4 linked regions of the Drosophila melanogaster genome follow. The protein of the gene in region 4 interacts with the protein of the main gene of each other region in a pairwise test. Each region holds a gene or a part of one and is shown on either strand. Other genes may lie near its edges. The genes, in order: CG7763, obst-B, Zif and Hakai.

Evidence for each region.
Region 1: the proteins of Hakai (region 4) and CG7763 interact in a two-hybrid assay, tested with the Drosophila melanogaster proteins (one large-scale study listed by BioGRID).
Region 2: the proteins of Hakai (region 4) and obst-B interact in a two-hybrid assay, tested with the Drosophila melanogaster proteins (one large-scale study listed by BioGRID).
Region 3: the proteins of Hakai (region 4) and Zif interact in a two-hybrid assay, tested with the Drosophila melanogaster proteins (one large-scale study listed by BioGRID).

What each region holds. Positions count from the first base shown.
Region 1 is NT_033778.4:11,412,672-11,415,992, forward strand, and holds CG7763 (uncharacterized protein), read left to right. Parts: upstream 1-1,838; 5' UTR 1,839-1,884; coding exon 1,885-1,953; intron 1,954-2,014; coding exon 2,015-2,644; 3' UTR 2,645-2,791; downstream 2,792-3,321. Other genes in the region: drip, read right to left, coding at 1-314.
Region 2 is NT_033779.5:10,030,867-10,038,707, reverse strand, and holds the start of obst-B (obstructor-B), read right to left. Parts: upstream 6,019-7,841; 5' UTR 5,969-6,018; intron 5,820-5,968; 5' UTR 5,816-5,819; coding exon 5,755-5,815; intron 1,891-5,754; coding exon 1,635-1,890; intron 1,548-1,634; coding exon 1,429-1,547; intron 491-1,428; coding exon 94-490; intron 16-93; coding exon 1-15.
Region 3 is NT_033777.3:6,455,157-6,459,359, reverse strand, and holds Zif (Zinc-finger protein), read right to left. Parts: upstream 2,273-4,203; 5' UTR 2,204-2,272; exon of another isoform or gene 2,144-2,203; 5' UTR 2,074-2,143; coding exon 1,930-2,073; intron 1,868-1,929; coding exon 1,251-1,867; intron 1,194-1,250; coding exon 1,059-1,193; intron 958-1,058; coding exon 687-957; 3' UTR 538-686; downstream 1-537. Other genes in the region: CG9727 (uncharacterized protein), read left to right, coding at 3,339-4,102, 4,166-4,203.
Region 4 is NT_033779.5:19,580,087-19,584,136, forward strand, and holds Hakai (hakai), read right to left. Parts: upstream 2,389-4,050; 5' UTR 2,285-2,388; coding exon 1,921-2,284; intron 1,818-1,920; coding exon 1,270-1,817; coding exon of another isoform or gene 1,246-1,269; exon of another isoform or gene 1,200-1,245; coding exon 690-1,199; 3' UTR 526-689; downstream 1-525. Other genes in the region: Pmvk (phosphomevalonate kinase), read right to left, coding at 1-44; PCNA2 (proliferating cell nuclear antigen 2), read right to left, coding at 2,940-3,599, 3,734-3,841.

The sequences.
Region 1 (3,321 bases), on a different chromosome or scaffold from region 4:
AGTGGCGCTGATCCCTTGATATCCTGGCGTCCAGGATCCGAAACAGCCTTGACCACGAAAACCAAAATAAAGGTGATCAGCGCTTCGATCAGCACCGCCTGTGCACAGTTCAGGGAGGGATCAAAGGAGGATACTCCCAGGTCGCCACCAGCCACTCCATCGAGTGCCACCTTTATCACAGCCGCTCCAGCAATGGCGCCCACGCATTGGACGATGATGTAGAAGGCAGCCTTCAGAATGCTGATCTCACCAACGATCAGGAATCCAAGGGTGACCGCCGGATTAATGTGACAGCCACTGAGGTGGCCCAAGCCCTGAGAGAGAGAACAAAATAAGAGGATATTCAAGAATATATTTATTATAAGGCTCAATAAAAGAGGAAAAAAAGTATGAAGATCAAATCAAGGAGGCTAAGGCCCAGTCGAACATAATGTAGATAATGGCCTATCTCCACCTCCATCGGCGCTTGCAAATGTCGAGTTGACAACGCAACATCTTAACCATAGCTGCGCTCAAAGTTTGCCCTTTGCCATGAAGCTGATTGTGCGATTTTCCGAATTTTCCATTGCACAATATCGTTGCATATCGAACTGCCAGCGGATACAAGCAATTTGTCAGACGTGAGATGCACTCGAGTGCATTTATTGTGTTTAGCGTGTCTGCAAAGTTCAGGTGGAGCTGGCTGGGAAGTAAAAGTGATTCGGGGTTCTGTTGAGTCATTGCCCGTGAAGAGATCACATGGAATCACTTAAATGGAAATCGCATTGGATCGGATCGCCTCGCATCGCATCGCATCGTATTGGATTGGATTGGATTGGATCAAGTGTTATGAATGGAGCCCGAAATGCACTGTTCACTCTGCGCCCAAGGTCGATGTGCAGGCTTCTATGTTTGATATCTCTTTCCAGCCGTGTTTCTCTACGTTTTGGTGATACGAATTCGATTTCGATATGGATTTCGCGGTTCGCAGTTCGCATTGGACGCACGGCCAATGTCGTGCGTCGCTGTGCGTTTAATTAATAAATGCGCAAAAAAGAAAAAAACAAAAAAAAATGCCCGTGTGTTGGCTGTTCGGCCACAAAACGCTAATTACAAATGCCGCCAAGAGCAAGTTCGAGTCGCGTTTTGCGGCCCAAACGGCAATAGGCCACAAATCCGAGCAGCCACTACAACTCGAACAACTTCTTGACATTTTGGTTATGCGCATGCGTGCAGCGCAATTTCGACTTCGTCTATACTAAGACTAAGTTGCCGCCTTTGCTGCCGCCACTCAGCCTGACCTAATCGTTTGGATCTAAAGCTTTTAGCCACAATAGTTTAGGCCTATTGTTCTCGACTCAATGCCTCCACTCGTCTTAGCTGCACACACTCGAAGAGTCGTGAAATTAATCAAATTTATTGTCGAGCCCGAAACCCATAATTAAATTTAATATATGCAACGAAAGCAATCGAGATCGACAGACCGGCTGCGTGTGAAAACCGCGAATGACGGACTGACTGAACTTAGACGTGAGTCATCGATGAAATATGGCTCTAATCGAGTTAGGCCTATGTGATTACGCTACGAGTTTATTACGCATTTCGAATGGGTTAATTACACTATGTGACTTTTTAGTTCTAAGCCGATCTAATTAAAAAATGTTAAATATATTTTTAATTTTTATGAATTATGAATTGCATTATGTTTTTCTGTGTATGCAGATAACTATACCCACATGCTGTGCAGAGCGATAAGTCGTACATAGTACCTATCTCTTATCATCATGCAGCGTCAGATTTTCTGTTTCTTTCTTTATTGGATTTCTTTCTAATATACTTGGTTTCGAAGCATTTAAGTCAGTCTGTTTTTGGCACTCGGATTTAAAAGATCTCAGAATCGCAGCAATGCAAAAATCTATTATATTTTTGGTACTCCCGTTGTGTCTGAGTTCAAGTTATTCAGCAGCCTGCGAGGTGAGTGAAGTAGAGAAGTGGTTTAGAAATGCTAAATATTTACATTCACATATCTTCTTAGGGCGTTGAAAGCGATTCCCAATGTGCTGCATATTGCTACGGTGTCTTGAATCCCTGCATCGCGAGCATGGGCAATTTGCAACGAAGGGTTGAAGCCTGTGAAGCAGCTGTTGCAATAGCGAGAATAGCCCTAAATGACCGAAGACTGGACAATTTTGGCACTTCAACGAACTTGCAGCTGGAAAATCAAAATACTTCGCAACAACTGCTGACACACGGTACAGCAATGGGCAGAAAACTGGAAGAAAACGAAATTTTCCAACAACTGGGAAGCAAATACTACTACATCGAAAAGGAAGAGAAGCTAAACTGGCACGATGCTTTGGATAAATGCCACAAAATGGGTGGCCATCTGGCCAGTCTGCAAAGTCAGGAGGAATTGGATAGATTCAATAACCAACTTAATGGCCTGAATCGCTACTGGATCGACGTGACCAATCAGTTCAACGAAAGTGAATTCGTTTCTGTGACCAAAGGATCGAAGGCCAATTTTTTGAGTTGGGCCGATGGGGAACCCACAAAAGATGGAGAGTGTGTGGATATCCGAACATTCAATGGGAAAACTACCATGAACGATAACTCATGTTTTGCCAATCTCTATTTTATTTGCGAAAAATCTATTGAAATATAATACAAAAATATTTATCTCTTTGAAGTTAATATTAGTTTTTGATATCTGACATTTACCACATGGTTTATGGAGGAAATAAGTATAATGTTTATTTCAAAACGAACAAGTTGGAATAAGACTTTATTTACGAATATACATATAATCCTATATGAATTGACCACTATTTCATTATTTTGTGTCAGCACTCTCCGTGCTCTCAAGGTTTTCCATTGGCTACAAAAAGTCTGGCAAGACTCTTCCCCCGATCGAGATATATAAGTTAAGAACCCTCTTCTTGCGCTCTTCGTCAGGACTCACCAGCGCTCGGCTCTCGTGTTTTCGGGCCCCGTCAGCAGGCGACTCGGGGCCTGTCTAGTAACATGTTCGTGTAAGTTACGAACCCTCTTCTTGCGATCTTCGTCAGGACTCACCAGCGCTCGGCTCTCGTGTTTTCGGGCCCCGTCAGCAGGCGACTCGGGGCCTGTCTAGGAACATGTTTGTGTATGTGTGCATTCGGAACAAGTGCCGTTGGTCGCACTCAGGGTGAGGGGTCAACGGGGGAAGCGGATATAAAAGCAGCGGGGCGGGAGAAGAGGCCCCAGTGTCGAACGGACACATAACGGAACCGCTAGCAGATCGCGAACTGAATCTTAAAATAAAGCTAATCGTAAACTCGAACCCTCTTAACTATCTTGACT
Region 2 (7,841 bases), 9.5 Mb from region 4:
TTGTACCAGTCGGCACTGAAATGGGATGTAGTTATTAGAATCCAAGAATAAAATTCCCAATAGTACTTTATATTAGGGATAACTATAGCTTACCAATCTGGCACCTTGCGTGCCCAGTCGCAGGTCTCCTTCTCCTCGTCGAAGACCTGGCCCAGTTTGCATCCGTTTCGCCTGGGCAGATCTCCGTTGACGCAGACGTAGAAGAACTGGCAATCGTTGGGATCGGCGTAGCGGGGATGTGTCACTGCGATGCTCTCGTTCACCTTGGGGCACTCAAAGTCGAAGACATCCTCCGACTTGCAGCCAGTGACGCCCACTTGGTCAGGCCAGCCACATATGCCCGTCTTGGGATTGAAGACCAGTCCAGCCGGGCAGGTAATCATATTGAACTGACCATCCACGCAAAAGTAGAACTTATCGCAGATGCCTGGCTTCTCGTGGCCAAAGTATCCATTCTTCCGGGGACAGTGAAGCGATGGCTGAGGTGTTTCTGCGATTGAACAATAGGGAAATTACAAATGGAATATTCCCTCTGTGCATCCTTGAGTTTCCCTCGCAAAAGGTATCTATCTATCTGTATGCTCGTAAAACCCTTTTTGCACATCCGTAAATACATTACTGCGCCAGCACAATGTACTAGACACACATTTATTCAGGTGCTGTATGCTTTGCGAACTATATGCATATATGCCATGGCAACGTTATATGTATGTATGTATGTATGTCAACAGGAGACAAAGGTAATTGAAATTGCTAATGGGCCTGCACAATGTGTACTAATTGCCTTGATGGGTGGCAAATAATTTATTTAAAAACTAAAACGTGCAGCAATATTTCATATTAAAAATGGTCACACAAAATGTGTGCGACTTTTTAAGTGAATAAGAAATTTTCTTAAATCCACTTGAACTAGCGCTAGTGCAAGAAACTCTCAACGTGAGAACTTTAATAAAAGTCCTTTGTCGAGAAGTTTGAAGGATGCTCTACTCCCACACACACACACGTGGCAGACCAAATTCGTGGCAAGTTTAAAACCGCGGGAAGCCAATTGCCATGGCATTGGGCTTAAAATTTTTTGGTGGCGCGACTCTGGCGTTGGGGAAATAATAAAATCACGAATAAAACTGAGTCTACTCAGGAGGCGAAAAATGAAAACAAAGCACCGCCAAGACCAAAGACCTATTGACGACAACAATTTGGGTTAACCGCTGCGCATGCCGTTTGCATAATAAATAAGTTAACAAAAAGCGCAGCCAAGAAGTAACGAGCAAATAAGTGCGAGCACGAAGCGCGTTTATTGCCCGATTCTTGGCCCAGAAGATGGAGGAGCATATATATGTATACTATATATATATATATAGGTGGGGTCTTGGGATTTGTGCGGTGCATACGTAAAGCGGTTCTTGCAAATTAAGGACTTATACTCACGTAGCTTGCTCCGCTTCATGCAGTCAATGTTGTAGGGCAGATCGCACTTCTCCTCGATGGGTGAGTAGTCATTGAAGACCATGCCATCGGCGCACAGTCGCTCCGTGGGCACACCATCCCTGCAAATGTGGTCAATGTGGCATTAAGCAACGGCCATTACTCATACGCCCCGTGGCCGGGTGTGTCTACTCCTTTTGGTCACTTACAGGCAGGCGTAGTACTTGTCGCACTGCTTGCTGTCCGGATAGAAGCCATTGGGCTCCGGGCACTCCTCGGTGGGCTCGTACTCCTTCTCCGCCGCCGTCTGTTTGCTCTTTGGCACCACCGATGCCTCCTGGACGGGATCACGGTTTCGGGGCGGCAGGTGGCGCTGCGAGGGCGGATGGCCAGGACCCACGCGAAACTGGCTGTTACTGCCACGGAAACCGCCTCTCGACTCCTGCGCCTTGGTTGCGGTCAGACCTGCAGACCAGAAGATAGTTGAGATATACACATGTTAACTCAGTCCATACATAAATAACACACACACACACAAAATGTCCTTGCTTGCAGTTTTAATCTACTTTGCTGATGGAAACTCTCTGCAATGGCCAGTTTATGAAATAGCACACATTGCTGTTATCAACTTAAATATAAATCAAACTTTAAACTGTGTTTAACCTTTTTCTACATTTAATTCGATAGTTTCGTTATTAAATTGCAGCAAAGCCCCACAGTTTCGCACAATTATTCTTATACCATTCGGCAATAAAATGCTAAGCTAATCTATTAAACAAAATGCGCCTAATCGAGTGTGAATTTTAACAACATTTCTCATGTTCATTTGTCACAAGTGCAAACACTTTGCTAAGCTTGTGAATTTATTTGCAGGATCTAATCTAGTTGAAGCTTTTGACAATGCTACTCTGTTGATTGTTTTAGAAAGAGTAATTGATTTTTAGATTGCTTTCGCATATTAAGCAATGTAATGGCGGTAAACTTTTGAAACTCAAGATATATTTTGATTTCATGACTAGGATATTGTAAGATTAGATTAGGATTAGAAATTCCCAAACCACTGATCCATGGTTCCTGCAATTTACCTACTCTAAAGTGATTGTAATAACTTCTCAGCATTTTTTTTCCAAGTGTATCTTGCACGTTTTTGCCTTTTGTTTTTTGCCCAACGTTTCCACTATGTTTGCGTGAAAACCCGTTTGCGGCAACTCAACAAATAGCAACCGATATGTATATGAGTTGTCGCTTTGCGATTGCGACACAGGCCACTGGATTGGAGCGACCTTAAAAGTGAAAGTCTCTCGGGTATTACAAAGCCCGGTTTTGGATCCACAAACAGCTGATCTAAGCCGCCGAGCAGCTGATGCCAAAGCACAGCCTTGAAAACTCAGTATCAATTAGCATTTCCTGCAAGTTGCAAGAAATTTTTCAAGATATGCGACATGCAGCAAATGCATCCAGTTAACATGGTGGAGCTCTCCTCAAGGTAAACCACTTCAATCAGACCGAGCAAAATTGCAAAAAAAATATATATATACATATATATACTTTATATATGTAGATACGTAAAAAGCCAAGCGATACAAGAGAAACAAGAAAAGACGATTTCAATTTTCGTTTGGCAGCCGCAGTGAACATCAACAATGCCGCCAGCAAGTTGCTGATGCTGACGTCGCTCGGCTGACATTCGATTAAACGTTAATAAAGAAACAATTCCACACAGCAATTAGTGCGTGAAGTGTCGGCCAACATTTAAGCCAACAACACCAAGTTGCTGCTGCTGCTGCTGCTGCAAGTGTTGGGTGTTGCAGCTGTCGCTTGTCATTGAAACATGTTTCGTACACGAACCGGGATCTGGTGAAAAACCAAAAAAAAGAAAATATATATACCCAACCCAAACAAGAAGCTGGAAAAGAAAAAGTCACGAAAGCTTCATAGTTCAGTTGGCAAATACTCTTGCGCAGGAGGAGTTCAATGAAAGACACTCTCAAAACAAAGAAATTGCATAAACAACTGTATGAACATGCCTCTAATATTATTAATTGATTTTTAATTTTATAAATTCACACCTATTCGAGAGCTATCAAATTGAAAGCATCGTTTTTTCACCGACTAAAGTTAAACCAAACCAAATGCATAATTGCATTATTGTAAAACTTTTTTTTCGAGCTGGCTATTCGGCTTAATTTTAGCACTTTAAATGAAAATCGAAGTCCTAATTAATTAAATAATTGTAGATTTTAACAGACATTATTGTTAGCTGATTCGGTTAGTTGCGTTAAATTTCAACTAAATGAACATTCAAACTATTCAATGGCTTAAATTTAAACTATGGACCACTTGCAGCCTTTAAATAGCAAAGCAAAGCAGACTAAATTTAGTTTCGAATAAAATGTGCCACAATATTTGTTCGATATGAAACAATGAATAATATTTATCCTTTCAAATATTCACTTTTTCCCAGCCATTCTTTAATAATTGCCTGAAATGGCTTTTCCCCCAAGGGCATTTCCCTTACGACCTGCTCCTGAATAGGTATTTTCCTTTCATTTTTATGACCCTCCGTTTTTTTTTTTTTTATTTCGCAGCCCGGCGAACGAGTCAAGCGAAGCGTGGCCTATGCGGTTTGGGCCTGGCTTTTTTCGACTCGTCAACTTGGTCGACTTGGTTGGGGGCCGTCGCGTCGCTCTGACAGTCTGTCAACAAGTTTGCCATGGAGTTTGCAGTCGCAGTAGGAATTGGAATTGGAATTGGTGTTGGAATTGGAGTTGGAGTCAACCGTTGTCAACAGACCCGGTTCAACCCGGTCCTGGACCGTTTGACTCGATTCCCAGTCCGGTTAGACTAGATTAATTGACTGCCGATTGCAAAGCAGACGGAGGAGTGAGTCGTGGCTACAATACGGTTTTTTTTTGGGAGCTTTGAATCTTTGGATTTTCGATTCCAGTCACACACGTCGTGGGTGTCGTGGCTGTCATCTTGGAAAAGTGCGTGCAGGCAGCGTGTTAGGTTCAATGAACATTAAATAGATTAAAAATAAACAGATTGTAAGCACTTTTTCATGTCATTCACTGAACTGATGCGAGATTGACAATAGAACCGACCGGTTTGTTAAATTAGATGTAAGAGATTTTTATAAAATAGGGGGTAAAAAGGTGTTCGTCTCGATAGGCAAACACACACATTATAAACTTTTCGTACAAACATGTTTACCATCAAATTAAAACTTTTCCTTTGTCTCAACGCGGTGAGTTTTTCCTCAATTAACTGGCAATTTAATTTGCTTTCAACCCCGGCGGCACCGAATTGCAATACATTTAATTATGAGCTGTTGCCATATTTTTGCCATAGACATTTTAATATAATTACCAAATTCAGCTTACGCCCCCCGAGTGCAACAGTTGCTCGCCTATCAATTTGTTTAATATGTATGTTTTTATGCCGGCGAGTTAACAATGTGCATTTTTAATGCCCCCGCACATTGGAGACAAACAAATTTTTAATGAGCTTTCACACAATAAATGAGCAGAAAATTTGCCAGCAAATTAAATTGCCGAATTTCCAATTGCAATTGGAATGCCAATGGGTTTGCAGCTGTAATTCCGATCCAATCACGAGAGAACGCTATAGGTGAGTATCTCGACTATCAGATACCTAGCGTTCGAGCTCACACGAGCTCCACCTAGCGGTAGTAACATAATCGCTCCCGTAAGTCTCCACTGTATTCTGTATAACTTAACATAACTTTTATATTTCCCGAGAGCATCGAATCTGGTATACCCTTTTTACTCAATGAGTAGCGTATGAGGGTATGAAAACCGAAAAACAAAAGTCATGCAAATTGGCAGCAACAACAACAGCAAGTGCTATATGCCATATATGCTACATGTGGCATTTACACGTGTTCTATGCCATCGAATCATCGGACAACAGTTGACATGATGAAAAGAGGGCCAGGATTGCAAACACTGCAGATATGCATAAACATGGGCGCCAATAATGTTAACAACAATATTTTTCAGCTTAGTTGCTGCAGCACTGTGCATTCTGCATTTGCATATGGTTGTTTGTCGCTATTATCCTGGTTGGTTCGTTTATTTGTTCGTTCGTTTGTTTGTTGCGTTGTTTGTAGTTAGGTTGGCCTGTGGGTTTGTTCCCGTTTGTTTGGGTGCGGCCAACAATTAGAGGCGATTGTTTTCGCCGAAAGCAGAAGAGCATTAAAGTCACGGCACATTATTCAAATAGAGTTTGCACAGGGACATTTTGCACGCCATGGTATTGACGTATCATTAATTGGCAAATGCAATTAAGAGCTTTTTCCACACTTACCCACGGCCAAAGCCAAAGCAAATATGCAGATTTTCACAAGCGCCATTTCGTTAGCCGACATAAACCTGCACGAACAGATAGATTATTATTTAAATATTTTAAATTGATATGCTTTCCGGCGGCACATTAAACGGCATTCAAGAGCAGCATTCCGCATTCCACATTCACTTGATTCACCATTCATCGTACTACACTCGCAGAAATCGGAACTCACCAAACTCGTACGTGCGCACGCGTCTACGTCTCGCTCTCAACTGTGCGATCGGATCGCTCGGGCAATGAGTTTTAACGCCCAGAAGTCTCCATCACCTTGTCTGCTTTCGCTCTGCTCCATTGGAACTGCAGTTAGATGGCTGCGCATGCGCAGTTTGGAGAGAAACCGGTCCGAGCTTTTTTCAAAAGCTTCAGACTCTTAATGTCAGATGGTTAAAGACGATGGTTAAAGACAATCGAACGCGATTGGTCATCGAAATTGTTTTCCAATGTGAGGTTTCAAGAACCAATCAACTTTTTAACAATTTAAAAACTATGAAAATGTAACTAAGAGCAGCTTGAGGAAACCCTAATAATCTTAAGTACTCAAAAACTAACAAAATCATTGTATATGAAATAAAAAAAGATAGTTTAAATATGTAACTATCTTGTTTAAAGAAGCAGCATCTTAATCAATACAACACAAAAGGCACTCAGAACTTTAATGAAAGGTAAATAAACTGCTTAGCCCGCACAGTCCTAATTAGTTAGTAAAAATAATCAAATTTTTAGTTGCGTAGGAAGGACAACTGTGGCCTAAACTAACCAAGGGATGCGCAAACAAAGGCAGGAAATGGAAATGCTAACTTTGCATAACATGGCCCAGTGAAGCCATGGCCCTCTGAACCATGCAGCAAACCAACATCAACTATGCGAATAAGCTGCAAACAAATGAGCGGCCTCCTCCATGTCCATGGAAAACATAACGATCGACATCGGCTGGCACGGGTTTTGCAGGATGGCAAAGTGCAAAGCCCACCGGATCCATGATATTCTACACCACAGAAAGTTTGTAACGAGCACATTGCCGCACGAGCAGTGCTGGCAAATTTGTCAAAAAAGGCGACAGGACGTGCTCCGATGTCGGCCAGGACATCGATGATTTGCATTTTTGAAATTAACCAAAAAATATGACAAAATTTCGGACACGTTTGCCCATGCAGGTGGCTGGCTCGTCCTGCTCCCACTCGTACTCCTCCTTTTCCTACTCCTGCTCCTGAATATTCCGAGCGAGCATTTGCTGCATCATTGTGCAGGCCCAAAACACATTTAACTTGTCAAAGTTGCGGCTCGCCTACTTGGAGTCGACTTTTCCGGAGCCGGAGCTTGTTTTCCAGCTGCTTGGTTTTCATCTGCCTGTCATTTCGTGTGCAATAATTGTGACAAATTGTTCTGTGCTGGAAAAATGCCTCGCCCTTTTCCTGAAAAATTTGTCCAAGAATTTGGTAGCAAACTTATGGCAGCTTTGTATGCAAAGTAAATGGCATAATTAAGTGAAATGACATACATGACGATAGAAATTTAACAAATGTTGCGTGCAAATGCAAATCACAATGGCCACAGTCAAGGCAAATGTCCCACGATTCATAATCCTGCGATAAGTCAGAAAAATAGCATCACCATTTCCCCGCGGGGCTTTAAAACATGGTTATTGTAACGCACAGCCCACAGTTGCTTAATAGCCCGCGGTCCGGGAGTCTCGAAAATTGGTGGGCGGAAATGGGGTGGAGGTTGGTGGTTTGGAGGATTGGAGGCCCTCAGAATGAAAATCGTTTAGCACAATTTCGGGCGCATTAGCGGCGATTACACAAAGAGCCCACACAGAGTTAAGGGCGCCGAATGTCGAGTGTAGAATGCGGAATGCACAATGCTAGGCAACAATGGCATAACAATCAAGAGTCAAATTAAAACGTTGCGCTTGCGGAAATTCCCGTTTTTTGTTCTCAGATCCCAGGTCCTTTACGCTCCACTGATGCGCTGTCCGTCCGAAATCCGCTGTCCGCTGTCCGCTGTCTGTGGTCCGTAGTCCTTGGTCCGTCCGGCGGATTAGTGGC
Region 3 (4,203 bases), on a different chromosome or scaffold from region 4:
ACCCAGCTTTGCTTGCAGTGTATCACCACCCGTAATCAAATACAAAGCCCCAGGGGCCGAAAGGCTTTACCAGTCCATAAGAACATTTTTTGTTTCCGCTAAAATGATGATATGATACACGGGGGAGTTCAAAAAAGGAGACAAGCGGCCAATGAAAAAAAAAAACGCATTCAAGTCATGTAATTTCGGAACTTCCTTTGATATTGTACATTTGTTGGTGCTTTGCATGCGCTAGGTGCAAATTGGGTTTTTTCCAATTTCATTTTATATACCCACGGCGTCATGAAGCCACCCATATTTATTGCATAATTTTCAGCATAGCTTCCCGCGCACACACATTGCGAACATTGATTGTGGAAATAACTACGGCCAGTTGTGACTTTTACCAACTAGCGTACAACTAGATTGCCAGATTTTCTCGGGCGTGTTACATTTCAAATTGTATTGTATTGTATTGTATGTATTCAAATTATCAAATAAATTAATTTTATGAACCAAATTCCACATGCTGCTAAAACATCACATACGTTTGATATTCTATTTTTAACAAAAATAACCTTTATTTACGTATGAAGTTCATTCTTACAACTATGAATACGCTATCCGTTAGCGTTTAAGCTAGTATTACTGATTATAAGGGATTATATCTGGAAATAAGACAGTATACTCTACTGAATTTGATTGCGTCAGTGAGCTTGAATTCGGATCTCGTTCCCGCCCCCCTGCTCGGCCACCATTTCCACCTTCATGCTCTCGGCCAGCATTACGGCGTTCTGGTGCAGTTTGGTCTCCTCGTGCTGGCGCATGTGATGCAGCAGACGGAAGTCCTTGTTGCAATAATCGCAGCGGTACAGTTTGATGTCCGAGTGGATGAGCTCGTGCTTGGTCAGGGAGTGAGCGTAGGCAAACGCTTTGTCGCACACCTTGCACACGTAGGGCTTGATGCCACGGTGAACACTGATCGGAAAAAGAAAAGTTAGTTATCTCTGTCCCGAACTAGGAATATATTTAAATGGCCCATTTTGAGGCCTCTCCGTGAGAATAACATTTCTACTCACTTTTCATGAGACTTGAGAACACTTTCGTAGAAGAATTGACGACTGCAGAAGCTGCACTTATAGGGTTTGCTGCCCGTGTGGGAGTACATGTGCTTCCTCAGTTGCTCGCGCACCTGGAACTTGGCATCGCATAGTCTGTGAAGGCGGGATTAGGGTTATCGCTTTAATATGAAATTTACCGACTCGACTTACTCGCATGCATATTGGCAGATGCCGTCATGGCGTCTGCGATGCTCCATCATCCGGCCGCGCTTTTCGTAAAAGTTTCCGCAGACGTCGCAGATATAGCCACCCTTCTCAGTGCCGTCCGATGTTGTTAGGGAGTTTAATCCGCGACGAACCCGGCCGCGCCGCGCCTTCAGGCTTGCCTTGGCCGCCTCCTGCAGCGCCAACTGCTGCGATGGTGTCTCTTCGTACTGCTTCTCAGACTCCAGGACGATCTCGGTCTGATCGGAGTTCATCTCGATGGTGTAGTTGTCCTCCAAGTACTCGATGGTGTCGCCAATGCACTCCTGCTGATCGCTGGTGTCCACTTCCAAGTACTCCTCGTGCCCCTTTTCTTCCTGGTGCTCCTCTTCCCCGGTGGTGGTCTCCTCCAGGATGTACATCTCCTCGTCGCATTGCTGCTGCGAGCCGTCCTCCTCCTTGATCATCATCACATCTGATTCGTCCAGCAAGCCCAGTTCCCGGCAGTACTCCTCAATCTCCATCTGCTTGCGCAGCGCCTTCTCGCGAAACTGGTAGGCCATGTTGAGTTCGACCTTGCAGGACTTGCAGATGCCATCGGGTATGTGTTCTCTGTCGTTCAGCTGCATGAGGGATGGATGGATGAATGGTCAGTTCGCATTGCCAGCTCTAGCGATTCACTTACATTGCTGTATGAGACTCCCAAAAGTTGAATCAACATCTCGTTCGGCGATTCCTCGCCTTCCTCGCGGATCTCGTCTAGGCGCTGCAGTCGCTCACTCTGCGCCAGGCAGACCCGGCACGTCTGTGGGGTAAGCTCGACGCGCATTCTGGAATCCTGCTCGAAATTTAATTTAAAGAACCGCTCGCGTAGTATTGTAGTGTTAAAATTTGTGTTGCTAAAGTGTTGTGTAAAGCGACTGAAAAAAGAAACGAAAAGACATCGCCATTTTCCTTACCAGGGCTGCATAGCATCGGCGAACACGATGTGGTTCATTTTGCTGGTTCCGGGAAGCGGATTTTTGGTTAAATATCTGATAAACATGTTTGCTGCTTGTGACAATACATTGGAAATATTTGTTCCTTTAACCATGGCTAAACGATATGATATGATAACTGAAAGTATTCCCCAGTGTGCCTATAAACACAAACAACTTGTAAAATGAGAAAGAAAATATTAATACTTCAAATATTCAAATATTATGAAAACAATTATATATATATTTATATATTTCTTTCATATTTACGTATATTTAGATAGAGTAAAGAATTCAATCATAAAAATACCAACGTCTTACATTAAATATTATTTAAAAAAAGGCCTAATGCGCTTAAATTTGCCTTATCAATAGAAAATATTATGTCCAATACTGACAATACATCTCACCAAAGATTTAATTTAGCTAGGAACCAGTTCTCTATGGCTCATTTTTTTGACCAGTGGCGATAACGATGACAGCAAGATCACTAAAAGACTAGCGTTGCATGTTTATCATATACAAGCTAACATTGCGTAAGGTGAATCTGCAAATTATATACAAATTATTAGTAATTTACTCATTTATTTATGCGAAATCGCAAATACAACACCGTGTTTACATCCGAAAGCTCTGGCAAAAAAAGCACATTTCTTAATGCAGCCGTCTGGCAACGCCACATATTTTTCGAGACGCAGAACGCAAGATATTTTCTTATCTCTCGTTAAAAAATGGATTATTTCGGTTCAATCGGTGCGTATCTGGGAAAATCGCATGCTCGTTGGCAGTAAAGAACGCCACGCACTTTCACGTCCCACGCCCAGCGCACTCCCGCCTGACGGGAAAATGGGAAAGCAACTATATCTGGCATCCGTATCTTCGTCCGTCGCAGCCGTCAAAATGTTCGTCGCGCCAGTTATCGACTCGGCAATCTCCATCTCCTAAGGCACACACACACTCAATAGAACGCAGTCCAGCACTCACACAGGCAGCCACCTACGTAACCTGGCAGCGGAAGCGCCCTTAATCTTGGCCAGAAACCACAGCAGGCAGAAAACAACGAGGGAGCAGCAGCAGGCGGAGGGAAACGGAGGCGCCGCTAGCACTAGCACCTAACATGTCCGAGAAGCACGGCCAGCTGGGTGCGCAGTGGACGAAATCAGCGGCGCCAGCAGCAACAACAGCACCAGTCTCCAATTCCATTCCCATACCTCAACCGATCCCTGTGGCACTACCCCTCCAGAAACCCAACGCCAATCCCTATGGGAACTGCAGCCTACAGCCCGCGGATATAGTCTACAGCGCAACCAGATTTCAAGGACCTGCTATCCATGCAAAGGGCTCTCCTTTGACCATTACGCCCGTGGGCCCTGTCGGCGGAGCACCTGCCTCTGCCCAGATCTCGCCCACGAGTCACACCCATGTACCTGTACCTGTAGCCACGCCCAGCGGCTTTGTGCCGCCTCCGTTTTCCAATGCCACCAGCGCCAGTGGAGGTGTCTCCACTTCCGTACTTACTCCGAATCCCTTTGCCACGGCGAGTGCAAATGCTGCTGGCCTGGCCTTTGCCAATGCCTTCAGCTTTAGCACAGCCCAGCAACTGGGTCTGGGCAAGATCATGCACGCTATGGGCGGAGCTACTGCGGGAGTGCCATCGGCGCCAGTACCAGTCACCACGACTCCAGCGACAGCTGCTCCTTCGACCCCAACAATAGCTGGTCCACGGCATCCGAACGAGGGCGTTCCAGCGGCCAGTGGAGTGATAAACTCCACCATTGCTGAAAACGTAATGAATGCTTTGAGCAACTCCAACTCAGCGGGATCAGTTCCCAGTGAGGAGAAGATGAGAAGGGTGCTGCAGGTGATTGAGACCAGCTTGGAGTAAGTGTTGTTTGAAGAATCCTATGTTTATCCTTGCTAATTTGTGTGCGTCTTCCCGTTCAGCGACAATGCGAAGCTGCAGATTTCACAGATTCTAGAGC
Region 4 (4,050 bases):
TTGCCGCACTTTCGCTTGCCGCTGATGAGTACAATTTTCATCATTTTTCTGGCGCAACTTTCACTTTTGCTCGCCAACTTCTTTCACAACCGCTGCTTCTCCTGCTGCTTCTGCTTGTGGCCTCGATTTCCTAAGTTCTACGCTGTGCTCATCAGATACTGGATGTGGTTGTGTTCACCCTGGGCCCTGCCACTTGACTCCGGCACTGCGGCCTGTTGTGTTTATGCTAATGCTCCATTCGAAGTCTGTGCTCCAAGTCGCATTTGTTTACCTTTTGTATTTCGCTGGAACAGCAACCAGCTGGAGCGTATCGTCATCGATAGGCGGCCAATCGAGCGGGCTTTTTGAATTTCATTCAGCTCGAGTGGAAACCGTACCGTCATCGATTGGCCGCCAATCGGGCGGGATTTTTGAATTTCGTTCAGCTTGAGAACCGCAAAGGTATTCATAAAATTGTTATCCTGATTTGTTCGCCACGATAACCACTTCACTACTACATTAAGAATTAAGTTTAGCCCAAGCTTTAAAACCGGAGTAGCATTTATTTTTTGGTTCGGGTTGGCCTAACCCCGTAAAATATCTTTAATAGTGTTCAGTTCAGCTTAACATACACTTGTTCACTTAATTAAAAGCCTGCGTGCCTGCGTTAAAGCGTCTACCCTGGTTACTAGCCCCTCGCTTTCGTCCCCCTATCTGTAGTATTGCGACTGCTGCCAGTTGCCACTCGAGCCACCAGTTGGCGCGTCGGTGGAGCCTCCAATCAGGGCACCTGGGCCAACAGCGGAATGGCTGCCACTCGGATTGGCGGGCTGTGCTGCTGCTGTTGCCCCACCGCCGGGTGGCCCAGAACCCGGATTCCCGGCCGCACTGCCAAAGGAGGCGAGCACGCTGCTGTAGTAGGAGGCATCCGCCACCGACTCGGACTGGTGGGGCGTGCCCTTCTTGAGCGTGTGGTGCAGCGAGGCCTTGCCCTGGTGACATTCCTGCGCATTGGCATTGTTGATCCTGGTCAAATTGGCCAGCGTGAGCGTCGAGTGGCCGCCGTGGATGGCGTTTTGGGCGGCGGCGGCGGATCCTGGTGGCGGTATACTACCAATACTACCGATGTTACCGACACCGCCGGTCAGTGGCAGCCGCGACAGGACGGGACGGGACGCAATGGAGGCGGAAACGGATATGGGGACAGACGACTCGGAGAGCTGCAAGGGGCAAGCGGTTGTTTTTTTATAGACAGGACAGCTTAGTTTAGGAGCCATAGCTACCACTCGCCTTGCGCTGCTTGTGCAACTCCAGGCCCAGACCGACGCCGCCCAGATCCGTCATTTTTGGCTGCTCCGCCATGGCTGACAGCTGCGGCTGTGGCTGCAACGGTGGCGGCTGCGGCGCCACATGTCTGTGATTGATGTGCGCCTGCAGGTCGCGTTGCGAAAGGTATGTTCTACGGCAGCCGGAGCTGCCGTAGCGACTGCCGCCGTGCGTGCACATGAACACGGTGCCCAGGCCACTCTGCTCCACGCGCAACACCTTGTCCGTGCAGCGGGGACAACTCTTGATGGGCTCGGCGCGGGCGCACTTGAGGCAAAATACATGCTTGCAGGGTATCATGCGGCCGTAGACGAGGATCGGCTTGTCGCACTGATCGCAGCAGTGGATCATCGGGTTCAGCACCTTCTCGCCGATCAGGCTCACCTTGTGGTTCCACTTAAGGCGCAGCATCGGCTCCGGCGGTCCGCGCGAAAGCGTGGTGAAAGTGGGCGCCTCCAGTTGCGATATGTCCGCCTCCATGTCGACTGCGCGGGCGAGAGATAGCGAGATAGCTTTGTTCAATGCTTCAAGTTTGGATACCAAGGAATTGGTCAAGCCAAGATGTTAATCAATTTAACTATCTTGGACAACCATTCAATAGGGGAGGAGACTCACTTGTTTGGCTCATCACGGGCGGTGGCACTTGCTGCAGGACCTGTGGCTGTTGCGTCGCTGGAGTCATGTTCCCGCTGGCGGCGACCGCTCCTAGCGCACCGTGCGGCAGGGGCTCCTCCAGAGCGCCGGGCGTTTCCAGTTCGCCGTCCTTGTCGAGCTCCTGCATGACCGAATCTTCGGAGGCGTCCAGTCTTCCCGGACTGTCCTCCAGGGCTGCACAGCTGCTGGCCGCCAGGGCTGCGGCGTCGGCGATGCTGCTGTCGTCGATTTTCTTGCCACGACCGCGTCCTCGGCCACGTCCGCGCCCGCGAGCCCTGGTGCCACGCCCTCGTCCGCGGCCGCGCTTCACTTCCTCGGTGTCCATTGTTCACTTGTACTTGCGTGGGATTTTATGCCGGTTTTTAAGTTTTTCGGTTTTTGTTTAGCTCCGCATTTGCGTTTGGCCAGGGTTGTCAGCTGTTCCCACATACGTGCAGTAACTTAGGGTGACCAGTCTGCGCCTAACAACACTGGCCATCAAAAGGTCCGGCATCACTGGTCAGTTTAAAATACAATATTTTTACTTGTTTAATTTTAATTTTATCTGTTTTTCAATTATTTTTAAACTAATTTGAATTTAATGAATGTAAAAAAAAACATAAAAAAAAACAATAATTATAAGCATCTATTTAACCGTTCTTGTATCATATTAATAGCTTACTAATTTCTTTTGTAGCTTCAACATGAAAAAACAAAAGTATTCTGAATAGAAAATGTGAGATCTACATTAAGATAACCTTAAAAACTTAATAATAATTAATAACAAGGTTTAAAATTAGTTTTTTCGTATATAAATTTGAATTTGTAAAATGTTTTTTTAATTACAATTAAATAGTTTTTATTACAAGTTATATTTTTATACTATGCTTTAAAAAAAATGATTTTTGGTATTTGTTGCCTAAAAATATCGTTTATCCCCTTTCCTTATGCTTTAAATTGCGCTCGAATTTATGCAATAACTGAGTTGAGTAGTTCTTCAGCTAGAAATCGGGGTCATTCACCTTGGGTGCAAGGTAGTATCGAATGTGGCCGTAATCCTCGATGGGATACTCCACCAGGAGTGGCCGCTCGTCGGACAGGTAGAGCTTGACGCGATCTGCCAGCGGAGTGGCCTTGGTGAAGGTGTTGAGGTAGCGACCGGCGAAGGACTGGGTCACGGGCTCCTGCACCTCAATGCTCACGTCCATGGCGGTGCCCGCACTCAGCTGAATGTTGGCCGTGCCCAGATCTCCCTTGGCCAAGAACCTGATGCCCTTCGAGGAGCAGGCGATCGTCAGGGACTCGTCGAACATGCTCATGTCCCGGCAAATGCGCGCGAACTCTGACGACGGCAACTGGATGAAGCAGGTGTAGTCCTTTTTCGGAATCTCCATGTGATCCTGGTCCAGATTGAGGAGCTTCAGCTCGTAGTCCGCCGTGCGCTCCTTGCCATCCGACTCGAAGCTGAGCGTAATCTTCTCCGGTCTGTCAACGGCCTTAATGGTGACCGCATCGTCGCTATTGGCGCACTTAAGCACCTTGCCCAGGGATTTCAGATCCAAGCCCAGCGAGACATTGCGATCGCAGTGAAACTTTTCAAAACAATCCGAAGCCAGACTTAGGGCCACCAGCGAAACGTGGGAGTTGTCCATCGATTGCAGCTGGAATATAGAGTTGTAAAAGCTTTATTTCTTATCTCAACTTTTCATTTTCAGTCCCAAGTCTCAATGGAACTACTTAACAGCTTTTATGGGAATTCGAAACAAAATGACAGATGGAGGGTTATTCTCTTCACCTCCAGACCATTTTCACTGCAGTCCAGCGTTCCCTGGGCGATGATTTCCTTTAGTGCATCGACGATCTTCTTCAGCAGCAAAGTCTGACTCAAACGCGCCTCGAGCATTTTTCCAATTTTCAAAATTGACAATCGCTGTCCCGTTAAATTCACAATTGGAAACAAACAAAATGAAGCCAGTCAGCTGTTTCGCTGCAAGTGTAGAGATGCCGGACTGCTGCGGAGTTAAGAACAAAGCTTGTTAGATTAGTTTCGGTTGCGGATTTAAGTTCATTTGATGTCTGATGATGAAGCTAGTGAACATAGATCTTAGAATT